3 linked regions of the Drosophila melanogaster genome follow. The protein of the gene in region 3 purifies or fractionates together with the protein of the main gene of each other region. This does not show direct contact. Each region holds a gene or a part of one and is shown on either strand. Other genes may lie near its edges. The genes, in order: nudE, Nost and Khc-73.

The links.
Region 1: the proteins of Khc-73 (region 3) and nudE purify together in Drosophila melanogaster (affinity purification with western blotting, with the first as the bait; one study listed by BioGRID). This does not show direct contact.
Region 2: the proteins of Khc-73 (region 3) and Nost purify together in Drosophila melanogaster (affinity purification with western blotting, with the first as the bait; one study listed by BioGRID). This does not show direct contact.

The regions. Positions count from the first base shown.
Region 1 is NT_037436.4:9,897,222-9,902,512, reverse strand, and holds nudE (nudE), read right to left. Parts: upstream 3,273-5,291; 5' UTR 3,158-3,272; exon of another isoform or gene 3,126-3,157; intron 2,788-3,125; 5' UTR 2,509-2,787; coding exon 2,429-2,508; intron 2,361-2,428; coding exon 2,207-2,360; intron 2,091-2,206; coding exon 1,817-2,090; intron 1,753-1,816; coding exon 1,495-1,752; coding exon of another isoform or gene 1,409-1,494; exon of another isoform or gene 1,316-1,408; intron 1,171-1,315; coding exon 1,079-1,170; intron 953-1,078; coding exon 677-952; 3' UTR 601-676; downstream 1-600. Other genes in the region: CG46387 (uncharacterized protein), read right to left, coding at 3,345-3,782; CG6707 (uncharacterized protein), read left to right, coding at 4,458-4,584. UniProt on the Drosophila melanogaster protein: Chaperone protein with functions in nuclear localization. Required for centrosome duplication and formation and function of the mitotic spindle.
Region 2 is NC_004354.4:9,028,441-9,033,275, reverse strand, and holds the start of Nost (nostrin), read right to left. Parts: upstream 3,072-4,835; 5' UTR 2,407-3,071; coding exon 2,380-2,406; intron 1-2,379.
Region 3 is NT_033778.4:15,529,260-15,534,344, forward strand, and holds the start of Khc-73 (kinesin heavy chain 73), read right to left. Parts: upstream 3,001-5,085; 5' UTR 2,863-3,000; intron 2,137-2,862; 5' UTR 1,931-2,136; coding exon 1,876-1,930; intron 1-1,875.

The sequences.
Region 1 (5,291 bases), on a different chromosome or scaffold from region 3:
TGTTGGGCTCGAAACAACAACATCAACTGTTGTGTAATTCATAATATCGCAAGTGGTTTATACAAAGTCATTTTAGTTCAAATAAATAAAGAGGCAGCAGAAACTTAATTAATGCGAACAGTAACATTAAAGTAACGTAACGTAAACGTAAAGCCAACTGAACAGTATCCCGCCCTAGGTGATTGGGTTTCGGATTTGGGGTTTGTGGATCACGCTGAACTGCAGAATCCACACTACTCGGCATCCAGCGAGAAGCAAGGCAGTCCGGCCAGCGCCGGATGTGTGGATTGCTGGGAGGAGCGGTGTCGCTGCGGCATTGGCTGACCATTCTCGCGGTACGTCTTCAGTTTCGTCTCCATCGCCTAAAAAAAAAACACAAAACGAGAGCGGATTAAGCAACAGTCAGTGAACTATATGAAAAATTAACTATAGAAGGATTTGGGCACATCATATAATAAATAAATTAATGAAAATTTCATTTCGCAACGGTTTGCCCAGTGCAGAGTTTAGTCAGCAAGCCAAGTTATTATGCGCTTTCGAAACTGAATAAATCATAACGAACAAAAACAAAGAACATAAAATAAGGTACAAATAAATTTTGTATTTATTAACCAATGCAATTAATAAATGCAAGCGGAGGGCAACTAAAATTAGCCTTAAAGTTCCGAGCGCATTGTCAGAGCGGCAGGCTGGCGTCCGGCGAGTTTCGCATGCGCTCGGCGAAGCGCCTAAAAATGTTTGAGCCCGCACTGAGGCTTCCGGCGGAGCTGCAATCGCTGGTGGGCGTGGACTGGGCGCTACTGGTGGCCACTGAGCTGCTGCTGCCGCCAAAGGCGCGGCGAAAAAGACTTGCCTCGCTGGCCGATGGCGGCGGCGGCGGCTGCACACTTGCCGGGCGCTCACACATGCAGCGAAACTTTTCGCACTCGGGACATAGCAGTGCCTTGTCCCACTAAAAACATAGGGAAAAACACATAAGCCGATGGTGGGAGTGAAGGGTTCAAGGATCATATGTACATACGAAACAATGGATGAGGTAGGATGGCATGCTGGACTTATAGTTTGCGGAGGGACTTACGTTTAGTTTTCTTAACATGTCGGCCACAATGTTGAGCGCCGTTGTGCGGGAGCTGGGGTTCATGGAATTGCCATTGATTTGATTCTCGGGATCTGCAAGAGGAAGCACACGTACACAGCATGTTAGTCGAGAGGTTAGTTAGGTCAACTACTAGCTACAGACGCAAACACAAATCGTACAAAAATCGCCTACAAGAAATGTTGCAAACTCTTTCGTCACATTTGGGCTCTTAATTTTAATAATTTACAATACAATTACAAATTATGAGGAACTTAAGCGGGCTACATTTTTTGGTTAACAAGTAAAAAAGAAACAAATGGAAAAACAATACTAAATGCATGGCTTGAACGTTTGGCGATTCGTCTTGGACAGTTTTAGCGCGCGTCTGGTTTTCTTTAGGGAACTTAGTATCTTACTCTTAAGCGAATGCTGCTGGTTATATTCGTTTCTATTAACTAAACTGCCATTGAGGGCGTTGACGCTGACGCTGGTGGCTCTTGTGGCGACAGCATTGTCGTGTTTTACCAATTCGCCATTGGCAACAATACCATTTGGCAGCGAGGCGGACGAGTTCATCGAGCTGTTGACCGTATTTGTGTCGTTTGCCGTGGGAACGCTCGTTCCATTGACCACTGGGGTAAAGCGTGACTTGACGTTCAGCTCTTGTTTGAGATCTGCAATAGATTTGATGAATTAGTTTTAAAGTCTGTGCTGGACATCTGGTATAGATGCATCCACCTCTCGTCTCATCCATTAATCGCTGTAGTTTTTCCTGCAGCAATCCCTTTTCATCCACTTCCAGCTCCAGAAGGGCGTTCTTCTCGTAGGCCTGATCCAGCATCTTCTCGAAATTCTCTATGCTTTCGTTAAGTATGCGATGGGCACGTTCCAAATCGTCGTTTTTCTGCTCCAGCTGCCGCAGGTACACCTTCATGGTGTCGCGATCCTTCTTCACCGTTTCCAGCTGTTTCTCCATGTTTGACATATCGATGCCATGCGATTCCAACTTGAGCTGAGAATGAAATAGTTGTAAAGACTAATCTTGTCGGGAGCTCAAAGCCACATATACGCAAACTGAGTCTAAGAATTAAGCTCAGTTTGTGTAAATCGGGCTTAGCTTATAGCTACCTTGAGAGACTCGTTTTCCCGCTCAAACATTGTGAGTTTGGCTGTGAGATCTTTGATTATACTCTGCTTCTGGTCCAGAGTGGCGTCCATTTCTATTTCCATTTCGCGGGACTGCTCCACAAACTCGTCGTACTCCTGTTTCACGTCTGTCCACCTGAAAATTAAAAGTAAAACTAGGCTATATGGCTGATTTCGGAGACTGTAATAGGGATGGGCACTTACTCTTTGTGGTACTGCTTAGATCGTTCCTTCCAATATCTGCACTCATCTTCCACACTATTGAACATCGGGGGCGACTCCATTTCTGCAAATTTTCCTTAGCTGCTAACTCCTTTTTCTGGTTTTTGTGTACTAATCGGCGGTCAAAATGGGTTTGTAATTTCGTTCGTTCGAATTGATTTAACTTTTAATTTCTGAACAATGCTATGTACTACGGTTGGTCTATTACTGTTTGGGTTATTTATTCGTGTTTTTTGGCTGCTTTGTTTTTAATTGCTGTGATTAAAATGCCAAAACACAGTTGTTGTTCAAGTCGTAGTTTTACTTTTTTTTTGTTTTGTGTGTTGGGGGTGGTGAATAGACTAGAAGTCGGCGAAGAAAAGTGAAAAATCAATTAGGAACAGGTGTTTGCCCTGAATTTTGTAGTTACTGTTGCTGTTGTTCTTGTTCGATGCCCTAAAAGGGCAGTCGGTTTTGTCCATATCAAATGTAAATAAAATCAAATTAAACAAAACTCATTTTTGTGACGCAGCTGCTGCGGCAACAACAACGAAAACAACGAGGATGATGGTGATGAGCAGCAGCAACAACAACAACAACAAATAGCTACGACGAAGTTTCCCATACAACAACGCACTGCATGGAAATGAAATCATCGGTGATTTTTTCGTAGAATTCCAGTGTTTATACCTAGAATTTTATACAGCACGACTGTCCACATTTACTACTTACACTTTGCACTTAATTTTGCTACGTTTTGTTTGTTTTATTTACATAAAATCAGTGTAAATAGTTATGCTCGTAAAAATTTACCACTACTCCAAAAACGCACAAGCCAACCCTGGCTTGGGTTGCCAGTGTTGGCCAATAGATGGGCATTTGCCGTTTCCAGCCCTGGTCAACAGTTGTTATTTGAAATTTAATCAACATATAAAGTTTTACTCGGCTTTTTTTTGCGTTTACGTAGTTTTCTTATATATTCCAAATCATATTTCTCTAATGGACGTGCTGTGAACGTTATCGATTTGTTGGCCGGCGCATCGTTGCTGGTATCGTCCGAAATATGAAACTCAGAGTCGGAACTATCTTCAATTATTTGAGCTGAGCTTAGTGTTAAATCACGAGTGGAGCTGGGAGTTTGTGGCAGTGCTGCAACATTTTCGCCAACTACGCGCATGGGCAGCGCATGATAATGATATGATACATTTCGACAGGATTTGCGGCGTAGTTTGTGTTTTCTGCTTGTTTCAAAGTCACTTGAACTTGTGGACGTGTTATCGTCCCCACTATTTGAGCCTTCCCCGCTTACAGAATCCTTATTGTCAATTTTATTGGAGTTTTTCGTGATTTTAGACATATTTGTTTTAAGCCGCGCTGGATTGTTTTGGTTCCAAAAATGAACAATTTTTCGCTGATCTGTTTCTGGTTCTTTACCAAGTACAACGATGTGGCAACTCCCTGGCAGGGCCGCAACTGAAAAATCTCAAACGGGACATCGTTGCCAGATAGCTAGCCAGAGTGTGGCCAGATCGCAGCGACTGCAGTGCATTTTCAACAAAAATAAGGTAAAATATAGCACAATTATGGCCAGCAATTGTTAAACAATTAACGCAATTGCCAGTATTATAACCAAATGTCAACTGTGTGAGTGCGACAATCGAGCTCGCGTGGGCGTTGCACATGCAGCATCATCGAATTGATTAATTGCGGCGCATGCCGAAAAGTGAAAAAAGGGAGGATGTGTTTCAATCAACGCGAGTGAAAACCGCGACGAACGAAGAAAAAAAAAACCAAACTACTGCGGCAATCGTGAACAAAGAGCTCGTTGCGTCCGAAATTATGTGGCACAGCAACTAAACTATTGGATTTCCCACTCATTTTCCAGTTGAAATCAACGCGTTGCAGCAGCCCCCGCAGCAACAGCAACAACAAAACAAAGGCAACTGGAAGTGCAGCCTAACGGGAATTGCTCCAGCATATAGAGATTATAGTCCACACATATAAATATCCATTTATCGGAAGATAGTCCACAATGGCGGATCCAGAGCGACAAAGCCTGATCAACAAGGACGACGGCAATGGCTACAATTCCGTGGACGCCGTGGACGAGGGTGCCGATAATCCCGGCAGCAACTCATCGGTGGCCACAAACGAGGACGGTGCGTATCGTTACTGTAAAGCCGGGCATTCAACCCGCATCCAATCAGCCGGGCGGGCAACCCATTGGAAGCCCAACAAGTGTGCGGGCGCTCCACTTATCCGGATCCAACGCCGTGATTCCGAGTTGTCTGCTCGCCGTCTCATTTGGCATTTTCACACTTCACCCAACTGAGTCATAAATGCGTGTGGTTTGGTGCGGGGGGAGAGCAATGGGACTGCACAGAAAGAAAAACTGATAGGATATGTGGTGCCCAAATGCCATTTTAAATTATCTGCCATTTTTTTATTTTTTAATAGGGCCCAGTATTATTGGTATTACCAAAAATTTACAACCTAATATAAAATTTTCTTATTGGCCTAAATATCAAATGGGCCACGTACACCATAAAAAAAATGTAATTTTATCACGAAATTGTGAAGAGCTGCCAAAAATGTAAAGATCGATTGTAGTTAGTTACTCGACGCCGGTATCGGCAAAATTTTTGCACCGCCTTTGTTATTGTTTATGCTAGGACGCTCGTAATCAGCGCAAAAAGCGTTCCCCACAGCTGTTTAATCAGCATCGATTCGGAGGTGTTGCTATAGTGGTGGTTAAGCGGGGGCAGTCAATGAGTCCATGAGTCATCATGTCATTCGCTGCCTTATCGCAATACAGGGCGAAAATGAGGGTCTGCGATGAGCAGTGGTTCCATTGTTTACCAAGGAA
Region 2 (4,835 bases), on a different chromosome or scaffold from region 3:
TTTGGGGTAATTAAAAGTTCATTGTCGTCGACGGCCTTCCCAACTTGTTGTGGAAATTATTTTGCAATGTCTGCCCAAAAGCGCAGCTTCCATGAATAAAAAAGAAGGAAAAATAAAAGCGAGCCTCCACACGACTTCCCCATCGTTTAGGTCTTTTTTTCTTTGGATCTTTTGCAGAGGCGAGAGATTTTCCCACATGAAAAACGATGACAAAATGTGCAGGAGGCACACATCGTCATCGTCATTTAGCCGGTGAGTGAAAGTTGCTGATGACCAACATGGACATGTGGATGTGGATGTGGATGTGAATATGGTTGTGGTTGTGTATATCGATATGGTTGTGAATCCATGGCCAATGCCTTCACGACAATCTGCCGTAATTGAACTTGAAGCTGCCACCAGGAAGCAGACTTCAGCCGCCAGACTTTGGATGTGCAGGTGCAGCATCCCAAGTCCCAAATCCCAATCCCAATCCCAGTCCGAATCTCAATCTTAGCCAGAAGAAGATGATAATCGTTGGCGCGACGTCAGTCACGACATTTGCGCAATCGACTTGGGCCAGGCCAACTGGTTTTTCTCTTATTTTACTGGATTTTGATTGGTTTTATGATATTTTTTATTTTCATTTTTTTGCTGCCAGACGAGGGAGCGCCTTAGGTGGTGGGTGTCCGCAGACCTTATCACAAAAAAAAAAACTGCCAAAAAAGCTGGCGCATTTTAATGGATCATAATGCGATTACAGTTACGCAGATACGACGATAACGCATTCACATTCATAAACAACAAAAATACAGCGAAGCGAAACAAAGGCTTCTAAAAAAAAAGAATGCGATTCTACGCGAAATTGCTGTGGTGCAAAAGTTCACCATGCCTAAATGTACCAAGTTTTTATATGATTATTTTTTACTACAATACAACCACTATCTTCTTATCAACAAGTTATGGATTTAGATAACTCTTTTCGCTGAGTGCAATCCTAACTGTTTGTTTCACCGGTTTTTTTTTTTTTTTAACTCCAAAAGAAACAAAAGAAAGCTCCGTCGACCTTCAAATCATGCAATTGCTGTAGAAAAAGGGCGCTCGAGGTGTGGAAATGATGTTTGATCTAGATAGCATGTAGAAATTAAGTTGGGAAATTTCTCGGTAAATGTAGGTGTGTGTGTTTTTCTCTTTGACACAAGTAGAGATAAAAAAAATGCAAAGCAATTGCGGCTTAATTCGAAAGTCAGCAAACATATAGAGAAACTAAATCGAAAAAAAAGTATCTTAAGTAGTGAATTCATATCTCTAAATACAAAGTATTGATAATTTACTACTTTACTTAACCACAATTTTGCATATCTTGCAATACCACTTGCCGCAGTAGTTTTTTTTGTTTTTTTTTTTTACCATCTTGGCCAGATATTTCGCAGATAAATCGTTCGAGATAAACGGGTTGCACAGCACTTCGAATAAGTCGATCTATAAATTTCATCCCATGCCTATCAACATTGCCGTTTGACCCGCTTAACCTGCGTGTTTTGCATCGCACTAATTTATTCAAAAACTGTTCGACTTTCGTTCGCCAAAGCGAACGACGCACTCCTATTAAAAAAAAATAAAAAATTAAAATTTAAAAAAACCAACCAATTTGATTAGGTTATTTCGAGTGACCTCGACACCGTTATTCCGCTGATAAAGCCAAGGTAATTCGCTGCATGCGAAGCTTCGGAAGCTGTCAAAATTCTCAGTTCCAAGTCAATTGCCAGTCGGCACAAATGCAAATGCACTCGAAAAAAAACACCCCTAATAATAATGTTTTTTATATCGAAAATGATATTATAATTGCTTGTCTATAAATGTGGAAAGTTCTATATTTTCTGTTCATTAAACTTATAAAGTTATAGTAAGTTAAAACGAATATTTGTAACTTTCTTAAAGTTCAAAAGCAGTTTAAGGTAATAAGCCATCAAAGAACTAGTGAATGTATCTCAAATACTAAACATCAAAATGATTGAAGAAATCGTCAAAATTCCCCTAATTATCAACTTTGATTGCCAGTGCAATTCCACCAATCGATGGATCGGCACTTGGCGAGCTGCGAAATTTAAAAAAATCGGGTCAGGCCGAGAGATGCATGGTGCCAATTGGCCAATCGGTTTACAGATGGCCACACAGGTTAATTAACGATTTGGACCAATTAAGAAGATGTCGAGAGGGGGCGTTGGGCAATGGACAAATGAGGATAGGGAGAGAAATTGTGTTGGATAATTGTGCAATTTGGATTAGTTTTGAGTGCAGGATAGAGTGCGAGTATCACTGTGGATACGTGTGCAGTAGTTAGTCGGTAATTAGTGCCAAATCTCAAGCCAAACCGAACTGAACTCGATCGCAACTCACCCATGAATTATCGCGGAATTGTGACATATTTTGGCCAGCGGCGGGGGTTAGGATGCGGGTAGGATATTATGATGCGGTATTGTGAACTATATGTGTTTTTTTTATTTTTTTCAATTTAAATTTTATAATTGAAGTTTAAAGCATTTACTACTGGTCAGCCCGGCTGATTGTTTGCTTTCAGTTTCAGCTCGTCGCTTTTCCTTCGCGTATTTCGTTTGTGTAACTTTTATTTTACTTTTGTTTTTTTTTTTTTTTTGATTCGCGAATTTCACAGTTTTTGTTTAATTTATCTAACCAATTTGTTAGCACACACACACAACGACACTACGATACACTCACACACACGACGAGTCAGCTGAGCGTAACGCATGTGTTCGAGATACTTTTGTATCTTGTATCTGCGTTTTTTTTTCTTTTTTTTTTGGCTGCTTTCTGAGGCGTAACTGCCAGCACGATTACGTGCGACAATTGTAGCACTCGCCAGCAAAAGGCAGAGATGCACTACTCAAAAACGAAGCACTCCAGTTCAAGGCGAGCAAAGCGTTCGCAGGTAGAAAGAAAAAACAATAAAAAAAAATGTAATAAAAATATAAATAATAGTACACAGGTCGCCGAAGTTTTGGTGGAAAAACCGCGCTGGAAAAGCCGCATGCGCTCTCGTCGCTCTTCTACGAAACGGCGAACTAAACGAGTCGAGTCTGCGCCGCCAACTGAATCTGGCTTTTAGCTTTTGACTCCGACTCCGCGATCCACGCTACAACAAATCCCAATCCCAATGGCAATCGCAATCGCAAACGCCGCTCGCCGCTCTCCGTGAGCGGTGGCAATTGCAATCGCCGGTCGCTGGCGCTTTCTAAACGCTCTCCGCTCAACGCTGAACGCTCTTTGTGGAGCGGCACAGTGGGTACAGTGGGCTGATTTACTGACTTATGTGGCTAAAAAAAAAAACAACAAACCTGCAGGGAAATCTTCCACTCGGTGAATAGAATATGATAAAGAAAAATATGAAATGAAAATGCATAAAGAACATATATTCAACTGATTGAAGTCAGCTGACATTCAGACAATTTTAGATAAAAAGATTTAATTTTTAAAAATTTATTTATTGTTAAAAAAAAGTTGCAGCCAATTGGACAAGCTTTGTGTACGTTTTAAAGCTCGTTTAAGCTTGGCTTACGATGACTTCAAAGTTATGGAATGCAGATGCATAAATTTGCATCTTTCGAACTTACCCTTATGACTTATTTCGATTTCCGTCTAAATGCTGTGATTACAATATTCTAATAACTTATTTAGTTACCTTACAAGCCGTGACTCATCTGAATTTGACTTTACTTGTAGGTGAGAAAGCCCAAAACTATGCCATAAAAGAAAAACGCAATGTTGTTGAGTTTGAAATACCAAAAAAAATTTTTATTTTCCCTTAGGAGAGAGTCAGAAAATTCATATTATAAGCAATTTTGTGGATGATTTCGATCGTTTGTCCAAATATTGTTGGGATTCGCTAGCGTAAAGTGTTATTGATATTTTTTTTTTTTTTACAATTCTTTGAAAGTTGCACTTGGATTTTAAACAGAAACTCGTAGCTGAGCGTTTGGGGTTCGTTTTTTGCGGTTCCGAAAATTACAATTTTGTTTGAGAGCTTAACAGGATAGACTATGGCTTAAAGGATCGATGCGAATGAGTCTATATAACTATTGTACATCTATTTAATATTCGTGGGTGTGTGTGTGTATCTGTGGTTTTCGGGTTTCTAAGTATATAACATACGAATGCTGCATAGCCAATCCAGATGCTAAACGTTCTCGACTTTCCCACACAATTGCCACAAGCGAATACAGTTTTTTTTTTTCGTCGGTATTTCTCATCCGATGTAGCTCGAAAAATTAATATTAAATTTGTAATTATTATCCCAGAAATTGGAGATTCTCTTATTTAATTCTGTTTTTTTTTTTTTGATTTTCCGTTAGGTTTGCTAAATGCTATTTCAATTTCTCTTTTCGTTTGTCTTAAGTAAAATTGAATCAAATTCCTCAGTGCTTGCAGTGCATATCGTACTTAGTAATTCATGTTGTCTATGCTTAGTGACTAATTCAAAAAAAGTAGATATATATATATATATATATATATATATTAAATAGGCATATACATACAGTGATGGGGATGGTTATCAATAGTGTGCTTTTTCTTACATCTATAAATATAGTTTATAGGATCTGTGAGTGTTTGTAATTCGGTATATGTATGTACACTTTACAGTTAAGCAGTTTAGAACTCTTCGATAGAAATACTTTCAGACTTGCGTAAGTTAATAATTAAATGTATGTATGTATATATATATGTATGTATATATAGTGTATATCCAGGTGGAAGGGAGAATCCAAAGTCGTTGTCTGTTCAAAGTTTCGATTTGGGCGAGGATTGAATTAAAACGCGGGGTTTTGCGGGAGTCGATA
Region 3 (5,085 bases):
TCTTCAGACACCAAAACAGCAACGGATCAAACAAGCCAAAAACATGACAAAGTACAACATCGATACACGGTCAAACTTCTAAAAATACACGCGGTTACCAAGTCCATGCGTACGCCTAACTTGGCCGGAAAATATTACAAGTGACACATTATGATGGATAACCAGAAGTAGTTGTTTGTTTGCCAATAAACAAGTATATACAAGTGTTACGGATACAATTAATTAGTTTCACAAGTAGCTGGCACTAGCGTGGTAATAAATTTGTCAAAATTACAAAGTTATTTGTAATTAAATGAGCATCTGTGATCGCAGAATTCATCACTTTAAGGTCCCATAGCTACTAAGACTAGTTTGTGTTTCATTTGCAAATACTTGCAAGTGCACAATTATTGCACTATGCTCCACAACGACTACCTCTAAAACCAGAATGCAATTGCAATTATCCTAATTCATCCATTAGCTTCGCTATAGATAAAGACCTAATAGGTTAGAGTCCATCTAATCGAGTTATGACAAACTGAGTATGAAAAGAAAAGCTACAAAATAACAACAGAAATGTGTTTTGATGGATTATACAATCATGTAAATATAAACAAACATGGAGTCATCGGTGTAGGTTTGTCATTCAATCAATTAGGATCGTGACCCATATAAATGGAATACTTTCTAAGCCTGCCGTTTGTTTATATGTGTATGAAATCAAACTTTACGTTATGCCAATTTATAAACAGAGGGTGCACCAAAATGCAATAAATGTAACTGATTCAATGCCTTATGTAAATATAAATAAGATGTGCAATCAAAGTTTGCCATTCAATCAATACAGCAGGGGATCCAAGTGGACCTTGCCCCACGCACAGGCACATAAATACAAGCATGCAGCACGCTTATATGCGTTTACATAGGTATCTTTTGCATATGGTTGGGTCGTAGAGCCCCTTTTCCGCTGCCATCCTTCGCTTCCGCCGACGCCGCCGCGAGTGTGAGTCATGGATGAGCCAAATGAATGATCAGTGTTGACATTGGAAACGCTGACGGCGCTGTTGCTTGTTTTTCATTTTTAGTTATTTTGCACTTGCAACACACTTCGTGGCTGGCAGTGGGTAACGCGAAATTAGCTGGAAACGCAAATCGTTTGTCAGACGAGCAGACCGGGGACCTTGCAAAACCATCCCAATCCATCCCATCCCATTACCATCCCGTAGGTAGACGCTGTAGTTCTGCAGTTAAGCCCTGCGAAAAATCCGCTGGCGCAGCAGTTGAAAAACGAAACCGTATTTCAAAGGAAGCGAGGAAGCCCATGTAAATTTCGTTAGCCTAAAAAAACAGTCGCTTGCCTGGTTGGTTGTTTGCATTATTGATTGCAGGCAACTGCAGTGCTTGTTGGCCATTGTTGGGAAACAATGTGAAAAAGTGGGGAAAATGGAAAGTGCGGGCCACTCAAGGCAACTCCTTATGAACTATATTATCAACTCTTACAAAATAAATGGAGTGCCTGGCATCTGATGTTATAATTTTATAGAAATTGCTTAACCACCCTCACGACCAACCGTAAAACTACTTTATTATACTAAAAAAAAGATGAAAGTTTTAACATAACAATAGATAAATATGAGCGCATTAAAACACAAAATTAAAGGGCGAATATTTAAGCTTTAAGTCTGTAGCTTTTCAGATTTACTCCAAAATTATTTTGTTTTTTAATTTACGATAATGTAACATTTTTGTACAATGAAAAATCAGAAATTATGTCTATCTGTTGCTTATTATTGTGCTCATGTCGATTGTGAAACATTTATATTTTGAAACTCCATAAGTTGGCGAATTTTTCTCCCAGTACAGGGGATTATGTGGGGCATGTAAATCGGCACTTACCTCGGCGATTGAAGGGTCGCACCCTTACGGCGACTTTGATCTTATCACTAGCCATCGCGGATGTGGATGCAGCGGGTGTTGTTTTTGAATCTCTATTTAGATGAAGCGGAGTGGATATGCGGATGGGCGGGGCTCCCTAAGCGGGGGCTGCAGCGGGGGGCGTGGCTAGCTCCTTCTCCTCGGGCTTCGTTGCTTTTGACTTTTATGACCGTTAGTTGTTAGCGGTAGTTGTCGTCCTCGCGGGAGTTATGAGCACGCAATCTGGAAGGCAGGTGGAAGTCGTAAGCTGACTCACAAGTAAGTGGCTTTTGTGGAGCGCCAAAAAAAATAAATTATATATATTGTGTGAGTTCAATTAGCGCCACGCACACACGCGCACACATGTCTAACAGTAAGTGGGTGGTGCGGGGGGTGGTTTTCCATTTCGTTCTCGCCGTTTGTCATTCACTTTGTTTTGCTTTTGCTTTTTTGCTTTGTTGTTACTACACACACACACACTTGCACGCACACGGATACGTTTTATTGTCATGTGCTGGCATTCCGTTATTTACGCGAGACACACTCAAATATTTACTGGAAATTAGCTAATTAAGAATGTGATTCTAGTGTCCTGTCCGATTTTTCAGGGCTGTCCAAATAAATGCGAATATGTACATACAGACTTGATATTCTTTTCGCACTTTCACACACAACTACACCCCCACACACACACAGATCAGCAGGTATGCACTATGCACAGGTAGCTCTTTTTAACCCTCAAAAGCCACGCGAAATACAAAAACTTTACGAGCTCCACGAAAAGTTGGCGAAAAGCAACGCCAGGCTCCACCGCCCGCGCAAAAAAGTCTCGAACGCAGTGTGCGACTTCTTTGAAGAATCGATTTTTATGGCTCTTTTTCTTTCGAGGGGAGCAACACAAATGGGGGCCTCTTTTGGCTGCACACTCGCATTGTTTTCATTTGGGATATGCTTATCGTTTGACCGCACCTTTAGCTCCTTCGTTTTCGCACTTGGTTTCACTTCAATTTTGATTTTCTGTATTGCGTTTTCATTTTTCGCGTTTTCGTTTTTCTCAGCAATTTTTACTAGTGATGCAGAATCATCGATTGCTCTTGCGACTATCGATGAGTGTGACCGTGTGCAGGGTGCCCAAGAAATACCACAGTTTTCTTTTCTAAAAATACCAAAAACGATGTGCTTAATTCTAGTTTGGGTGGGTGAACTCGCTAAGTTCTAAAATTGAATTTTAGTGTGACCATTCACAGACCGAAAAAAGGGCTTTTTAAAATATCGTTATTTTCAAACTTTGGATCTATTAAAAAAGTGAATATATATATAATGATGTTATTGCAAATATTATATAAAGGTAACATATACAAAGGTAGAAGTATTGTCCAGCTAGAATGTTAAAAAATATTTAATAATTTTAAAATTAAATAAAACTCGTTTACTTAGCGTACTACAAACTAAAGTAAATAATCTGACCACGATCTTAAAATCATTTGAATTATCTTTTAAGAACGAATTCTTTGAGTCCCAGATTCCCCGGACCATTTTTTTTCAAACCAATGTATACTTTTTTTATGAAATAATCATAAGTTTTACTTATAGAACGTCATATTAGATTTAATTTGTTGTTTGACTTGTCATTTATTAATTTAATGTGGAAATATATCGGCTTCTTCCGTTGTATATTCCTGTAATTTATTTTGACCCTGTTGGAAAATAACCGTTCCCTAGTGGAACCATTCCATTTGCAATTGCATTTTAAGTGGCACTTCCTGTTTTGCAATGCTGATTTTCAGTACAGTGAAACCTATTTTGTTCCAAAAAAACTGAAGTTGGGTCGCATAAGTGGGCAACTTGATCAGTTGCGTTTTACTTTTTATTGATATTGATATATAGACGAATAAAAAAGCTACCAACGGAAAATGAAAAAGAAAAATGTAGTTCCTGTAGGTTTCTAGTTTCGCATATGCAAGGATCCACTGCCTCATTAAGGGAGCGACTTTCAACTCGGAAGAACGCCTCCCCATCATAGCGGAGTCAATGAACGCGATCGATCGGCGTGAAAAACGAGAACTCAAGACCGGCAATTTGAGCCCGGCCTAGTGACGTATACGTGTGAACCAAAAAAAAATAACGAGCCGATCGCAAATGCAGGCCGTTCCGATTCCCAAAAATAAACAAAGCGAAAAGCAGTTTCGCTTTCATCGCTCGGTTTGTTTTCATTCGTATCTCATTTTTTGTTGCTGTTTTTTTATTAATTTTTTTAACTCAATACCCGCTTGATACCTGTTCACGTGCGTTTTGGGCGCTCACGGAGTTTATAAAGGTTTGGAATCGCCGCAAAGGGTCACAGTATCTGCGAAAGACGCGAAGCTGCGAGTGTCGCGCTAAAAAAAAAAACACACACATCCTAAAAATTAGTTTCGATTGCGAATCTTACAAAAGTAAATAAACAAGACAAAAATACTGGTAAACTAATATTTTTTGGAATAAGAGCGAGTGCCAAGGACAGTTCTATATTGATTGGATTATTGTTTGAAAAGTAGGTCACTTCGATTAGTTGCAGATCCCGGATTGAAATCGATCCTTGACCCCCAAACGCGATCATAAGCAGGCAGTGTCAAAATATAAATCACCATTTTTCCTACAGCCATTCCATTAAAAACCAGCGTGCAGCAAACATGGCAAAACCAGAGCCAGTTCGCGAATATTAGTTACAAAACCCATCGTTTGTCCAAAGAAAAAACGAGGGAAAAAGAAACCAAACTGGGCGATCGGGATCCGCAAAGTTAAGGTGAAGGTTCATTTGCATAGGCAAAAATCGGAAAATAATATAATAGTGGATGCGAAGCCAAGCGCAGATTTACGATTTACCCTTGAAATGGTTTCATCGAATAGCCATTAGCTGCCATAAAATGCAAACTGGCTATCTGGGGACTTACAACTGCGAATCTCGACGACGTCTTCGAGAGCAAAGAAAACATTAGCCATATTATATTTATATTTTCGATAATTTTTGGCCCACGCCTGCTGCCAAATTGGCAAATCGCCCGGGGGACTTATTCTCGAATTTCTACCTCAATCAGCCAATGCAAACAACGAATTTATTTGGAATGAGTACTTTGGGCAAACGACAATAAGATGCCATACGCCTGGTCAAGCTTAATGTATGCAAGTAAATTCTGGAGACACCAGATGAAA